Nothobranchius furzeri: one gene and its partner. The protein of the gene in region 2 purifies or fractionates together with the protein of the main gene of each other region. This does not show direct contact. Links are inferred from orthologs where the notes say so. Each region holds a gene or a part of one and is shown on either strand. Other genes may lie near its edges.

Evidence for each region. The genes of interacting proteins can lie anywhere in the genome.
Region 1: the proteins of utrn (region 2) and sntb1 purify together in Homo sapiens (affinity purification with mass spectrometry; 3 studies listed by BioGRID and IntAct, with this or other methods). This does not show direct contact. The link is inferred for Nothobranchius furzeri from reciprocal best matches to the Homo sapiens genes UTRN and SNTB1.

The regions. Positions count from the first base shown.
Region 1 is NC_091745.1:41,759,585-41,763,105, forward strand, and holds part of sntb1 (beta-1-syntrophin), read right to left. Parts: intron 3,143-3,521; coding exon 2,899-3,142; intron 1-2,898. UniProt on the Homo sapiens protein: Adapter protein that binds to and probably organizes the subcellular localization of a variety of membrane proteins. May link various receptors to the actin cytoskeleton and the dystrophin glycoprotein complex.
Region 2 is NC_091742.1:4,149,557-4,153,077, forward strand, and holds part of utrn (utrophin), read right to left. Parts: intron 1,999-3,521; coding exon 1,848-1,998; intron 1,128-1,847; coding exon 952-1,127; intron 799-951; coding exon 663-798; intron 555-662; coding exon 405-554; intron 236-404; coding exon 83-235; intron 1-82.

The DNA of each region.
Region 1 (3,521 bases), on a different chromosome or scaffold from region 2:
ATAATTATGAAAAACAAGGCTGTTTCCGATAATTATGAGGTCCCAAACTCTAATCTTGAATTTTAAATTTTGCTGAAAGCAGCTGTGCATTTTGTTTTCTTTCCCACATCGATGAACAACAGCGACTTTCCGCGTGATGGCGGCTCACTTCGCCCTTCGCAGTGGGAGATTTTCTCCTGTAACAGGATGTGATCAAGTGAAAACAGAGTAATGACAGAGTGAGATGATTCCTATTAGGTTTTTTGTCTCGTTTTACTTCCCAGACTGGTTCACTTCCATAATTATGCTGGTTTTTCCCACCTGTGTCCTGTCTTTGTTACAGCCCTGTCCTCTTGTCTCCCTTTTTCATTTCAGAGATTCAGCACTGATGTGAAAATAGTAGGAGTCTCAAATAAACCAGTTGTGGTAGGAAAAAGAAAAGAAATGGAAAGTGGCCAAAGGACAGAATATCTCATTTTCCCCAGGAGAGCCGATGATGGGAGGGAACAGTAGCTAAATAAAAACTAAAGATTGAAAATGAAACTAACTAGGAGAAAGTCTCACACACAGAAAAGAAACAAACTGAACTGGAGAACACGGACCGAGTGAAAGAGGAAGAAGTGGTAGTAAATCACTCATGTGTAACCCCACGCTGTTTGACCGAGCCAGTCAAATTACCAAACCATTAGCTTAATGACACCTCCTAACACTCCACCCCCACTGAGAACTGTCTGAGCGCTACTTCTAATGCCTTTCCAAAAGGAAAAATGGGTTTAGAAAGACTGAGCGAATACACTTTAAGACAGATGGAAATTGTAGACCTGGGGGCAGATATTAAAGAGCAGAGGAGGAGTGACAAACAAGAGCAAAGACTATCCGTTCTGATTAGATTCCCATGATAAAATCATCCCACTCTGACTTAAACCCACACAAGGGGTTTATTGCATTTTCACCTTTTTGGTATGAAGGAAAGTAAAAAGATTCACTTCAGAGCTAAAACATCCCCTAACATTAAAATGCATCATGGGACATTACAGTTTTATTGCAACAGTTTTCAGCAGATCTCTGTTCCGTGGAACAGTAGGAATCTGTTGGATTGCCTTCAACAAACTGAATCCCCAACAATTTTGAAACGTTGTTGGTTATACAATTTCAAAGGTTGAAAAAGAAAACGCTGTTAGGTGATTTTAGTCAAAAGAAATGAATGAATAATTCTGACTGAAAGCAGGAGATTATGTAAAAGCCACGAGTGGAGTTCAGAGTCCTTTCTGGGTTTGAGCTGTAGAGAATCAGTCACTAAAGGGCTGCAGAGCGTCCATCGTCTTGTGGTTTGGGTCAAGACTAAAGTTGGTTTGTATCTAAAATCCTTCCGAGCATTCATCAAGATGTTTTCTGATAATTTCACTCATGCTTGACATCGTTGTTTTAGAAATTTTATTGACTATTTGATGCATCAATCAACCATGTACTGGGCGATGATTGGTTTGAGCTCCACGCGAGAATGGGGGGCAGTATTTGCTGCCTATCGGCCAATGGTTGAGGCTTTTGCCTCAGCAGAGGGTGTGACACTTCCACTGTTAGATCAGGTACTGTATATGTGAATTATGTAGATCAGTTGTTTCCAACCTTTTCCCACAAGAACCCCCTTACCTGTGTCCAAGACAAGCCAGGACCCCCAACGCCTACCTACATACACACATTAAAAATGCTTAGTTGCACGCTTTATGCTGATATGCAGAGTTTTGACTCTGACTTGTGATTATACTATTAGAAGTAGGGATGCATCAATACCACTTTTTTTTCTCCCTAAACCGATACGATACCGATACTTGGATCTGAGTACTCACCAAAACCTATACTGATACTTTTAACACAAAAAAAAATGCAATGAATTGGAATACAGGTTTTATTTTCTTCTCTGCTTTCAACAGGAAAAGACTGTGAGGTAGATAAAAAATAAAATATATTAATAGAAGTTGTGACAGAAATGACAAGTTTCAGCAAAGCCACTTTCAGGCAACTGCATCGGTGTCGGTTAACTTTTACAGATACCGACACTGGTATCGGCCCAATACCGATACCAGTGTTGTTGCATCCCTAATTAGAAATGCTGCTGATATTATATTAATGCTATATTATTATTATTTTTTTTACAAATATCATATTGGTAACCTCACAACCTTAGTACAGACTAAATGTTGGGAGCTTTTGGAATGTTGTGGGGATCTCCTTGGGGGTCCACAGATCCCAGATTGGGAACCACTGATGTAGCCCCAAAATCTGATGCAAATATGACGATGCTAATTGAGATTATGGGTAAAAGAGAGGCATTTGAAGTTCATTTTGAATGTTTGTTGATGTAGGACATGTTGTGGACTAACTATTTTCATTGGACTCTTGTAAAAAGAAAGGCTTTGTTTGAATTGGCTCTATTCTGTCAATGATGCAAGGTGAGTTAGTCATTGTTTTTATTTCTGAGTGGTTTGACTAAATAATTTAATGTGTCTACAGTTATGGTTGTATCCTTGATTGGCATACTTCATTAGAATAACAGGATTCATAGTCACAAGACTGACGAGTAAAGAAAAGTGCTTTTATGAAAACTGAACGGCGATGGGTTAGTGTTAGATTGGCCCATTGACCTGACCTATGTTCAGAACCCAAACACACATCTAAAGTATTAATCTTATTCATGTTGGGTTAATCAGGACATCCAGCATGATTTGACCTACACATTTCACATTTCTAGATTTAAAACACAAGTTTCCTGTGCTTCCTCTGAATCTCACCAGCCCGTTTCATCGTTTTAAAGGCTAAACTGATTCAACATCATCTTTATTAACAGGAGGATGAAAATCCTGAGGGATGTCACATCCAGGAGTGTGGCTCGTGTGTTTAACATTGTGAGTTTCCACCTACCTGTTCTCCGGATCAGGTTTGGTCATGGCTCGTGTTGCATAACACATCTTCAACGGTATGTACCTCCTGTCACTGTTCAGTGACAGGGAGGGAAGGGTAGGAGAGCTGGGAGAGTCGGATGAGAAGGGGGAGGTGATGGTAGGGCTGCTGGGACGGGGAGACTCAGGAGGAGGAGTCTCCCAGCTGATCTCTGACACGGGAGAGCCCTTTCTGACGTAAGGTGTAGCCTCACGCATGTATTTCACTGGAGACAAAGAGAGAAACAGATTTTTTGTTTCACCAGCAGTAAAAACAATGAGAATTCAACATGTAAATAATATTCTGAATAGAGTTCCACTGCTATTGGTCTTTTCTAATGCTGATGAGAGAAGGCTGCTGTTGTGACCTTGGGCAAAACACTTAATCCGCCTTGCCTGCTGGTGGTGGTCGGAGGGACCGGTGGCACCAATGTACGGCAGACCCGCCTCTGTCAGCACCCCCCAGGGCAGCTGTGGCTACATCGTAGCTCATCACCACCAGCAGTGTTCTGCCTGAATGCGTTCATTGAACGATCGTTCATGAATTTGTTCTTTTTTTTTTGTGAACGTGAACTGAACTCGTTTGTATTTTGCCTGATGAACGTA
Region 2 (3,521 bases):
AATAATTATTTGATGCATCTGAGTAAATTATGTATGGATTTTCGAGCACTTTAGTTCTTATAATGAATTCAAGTTGTCTTACCTGAGCTTGGCCAGGATTCAGGCCTCGGGTCGCGATGGTCTGGTTCGTGATGACGACCCAATCCGTCAGCTTGTTCATCCCCTCCTGGAACACCGTGTGACTCTGCAGGTTGGCCTCCACCTCCCCCACCTTGTCCAGTAGCTCGTGAGTCACCTGCAAAGAGGAAGATCAAAGGAAAATGAGAGGAAGTATTTAAGACATCAGGAAAAGGAGGAAAATATAACAAGAGTAGAAAATCTGGTGCTTGTAGCGACAGAAGGTCTAAGCATCTTAGAAGTAATAAAAAGCTCATTTAGAAGTTGGAAGTGTAACTTTGCTTCACCTTGCTCCACTTGAGGTTGATGGCTCTCAGCTTCCCAACATTCATGTCTCTGTCCTGAGGACTCAAACTGGGACTAGCTAAGATGTGGGGAGCGTGTTTGTTCAGCCAACCAAGGCGTTCGTTCTGAGTGTCCATTTCCTCAGCGAGAGTCTGCAAGGAAAAGTTACAAATCCTTCAATTCACCAAGAACCAGGAGTCCAAGCACCACGAGGATGGTGGGTGGATAAAACGAAACCGTGCTTCTTAGTTTGGTTGTACCTTGAGATCTTTAAGGTTTTTGTCAGTAGTGGAAACAGGCAGGAAGCAAACAGCGTTTTCTGCCTGTTCCAGCCACACAGCTAGCTCCTCACTCCTCTTCACCAGGTCAGACAGAGCTGGATCGTCTCCAGCTAACCTACACACACACAAACACACACACACAAAATAGGACCTACATTTCCTCGAGGTTACAGGACTATTCCTAAAATTTCCATTTAAATTGCTGCTACAGACTAATCGACTGGACGGATAAACAGCCGGTGATGGCAGAACTCCTCCGTGCGGATACCTGCGCTGTCTGTCCAGAACTTGGCGGTTAACGGCTCTCCAACGCCGACCCAGAATCTCCAGCTTCTCCTCCAGCAGGGGCCCATCTGGAGATGAAAGCTTCCCAACGATCTGCTCCCCAGAGCGAGTCAGTCCAGCGAGGATGGGCTGGTGACTGGCGAGGCCGTCCTCCAGCTCCTGAGACACAATTAAAAGACACAAATGAAAACGGTGAAATTAGGGTTCAGTCAAACAGACTAATCACACACTCAAGCATTAACGTTGAATCACTAAACGGCGTGATTTGCTGCGATTCCATATTTAAGCTGCTAAATCTCTACGTTCCTCTGCTGGAGATTTAACGTGGCGAGACAAAGCCGTAAAGGTGAGTGAGTGTACAGGTGGCAGAAGGATGAGTCAGCTAATAGATCTTTCAGTTCCCTTCCACTTGATCCCTCGTTTCGTTCTCAGCTGCTGAGAAAACACCTGAAAAATCAGGCAGGAGAGTGGCTCCAGCTTTGCAAATCAAAACGATAACGGTGTTAAAGGCGGTGGCGTTGTCAGCGATAACGCCGCCGAGTTGGAGGATTTAATCCCCCTGGGAAATGAAAGTTAAAGGCCCCTCCGTGTCTTTTTCTTCACTTCTCATTTCTGCTCGAACAACGAACCAATTTAATGCCTAAAACGTATCGTGTCCATTTGGGGAATAAAAGCAATCACCTTTTGTCTGACGTAACTAATTATCTCACAGCTTTTGTCTCAAATCTAAAATTTCTGCACTCTGGATGCTAATTACATAAACACACGCTGATGTCTTGCTTTTAGAGCTGAGGAGCCAGCACATCGTTGAAAAACAAAAACTTGTTCTGTTTCCTGAAGAGCATCCATTAATCACACAGATCACTGAGCATCACCAACCTCTTGGCTCTGCCGAGCAGAGTCCAGGTCCAGGTCACCGTCTGGGCCGACGCTTTCAGACAGAAGTGTCTCCGTCTCTGTGAGCCACTGAGAAATGTCCCTCAGGGCGCAGTGGAACCGCCCCCACTCCTCTGTGGCACGGTCAAAGCTCCTGCAGCCCGACGAGGAGAAAGAACAGGCCAGAGATGAGCTCAGAAGCAGGTTTATTGGGTAATAAAAGTGTTATTATCACTCAAAATGAAACAGAGCGTTTGTTTTGTTTGATTTTTGATCAGATCAGAAATTAGCCCAGACGCTAAATAAGAAATGATCCAAATATTTTTTATGGAAATCTAAAAATAAACCAGGAGGACTAATCTGAATATCTGTCACATTTAGCCAGCTTTAGGCTGATTTGACCAAATAAAGTGGGAATAAAATACCAGAATTTTAAAAACTTTTACAAATATAAAGATTTACTGACTGAACCTAAAACAACTGCTAATTCACACAAACTTTATTGGATCTCGTTAAAAAAACTAAGATAATAAATATTATTTGTTACTTGTTTTCTGGCAGGTGTGGATCCCTGAAAAATATTTTTTATCCGATTATAATTAAGGAGTCACTGTGAGTTTTTTATACAGGCTGAACATGAAAATAGTCTCCTACACCTATCTCCTGTATTAGCCTCAGATAGTAAATAGATGGTGAAACGCCTGATAGATCTACGTCACACTGTCCCTTAATATTCATGGACTCACCCATCTTGACTGGGAAGACTGTTGTTTTAGCATCCAGGAAACATCCCAGCCAGTAGAAGCTAACAGTTAGCATTAGCATCTTGACCACACAGCAGAACTCCTCCAGGACTGTGTTATTTGAGGAGATAAAACAGCCACGTTGCAGAGCAAACTGAGTCAGTGGTACAGTCGTGTTGCTGTTATCCAATAGGAGGCGAAGACCCCACAACCTGCCGCCTGAAGCCATTTTCTCCTCCTGCTGAATTATACTTACTGATTCTGGTGCATCCTACTGGAGACCACTGATTAAGAGTGCTCAGCACCTTTAATTACATAAAAACTACATTTTTAAAACTTAACTTTAACACATTTACTGGTTGATATGGATTAACTACTCTGTCATTTGTTTGAGTTTATGACTTCAATTGATAATAATAAAAAAAAGCTAATTAGTGAACCATATAAACAGTCAGAGGAACTTAATCCGCAACAATCAAAATGCCCCAAGGACACAATAAAGGTCAGAGTTGCTGCTGAATAAAGAAATATTGACAAGAAGGTTCATTATTTCAAAAATTATACAAAAATTCAGATTTTTTTATTCTACATCGTCATCCTGCAGGTTCCAGTTGAGGAAATGCATTTTTGAATAAAAAACAGGGATGCAGACGGTGCTCGTCATCGTTTGGATGCCATCTACAGATTTCCTCGGTCACCGGTTTGCTCTCAAGGAAACAAGGACGCATGAAGCCCGACTTTGTGCTGATACTGGTCAATGTCACCCACTGTCTGCGCATTTACATCTGGGAATGAATGTGGGCAGGCGTGAGATTGTTTATGCTTGAGGAATTCCTCCGACATTAATCAAGGTCAGTTTCAACAAATCTGCCGTCTCCTGAGAAGTGGACAGCCGGCACCCCCTCGCCCTGCAGCCCCAGCCAAACACACACCC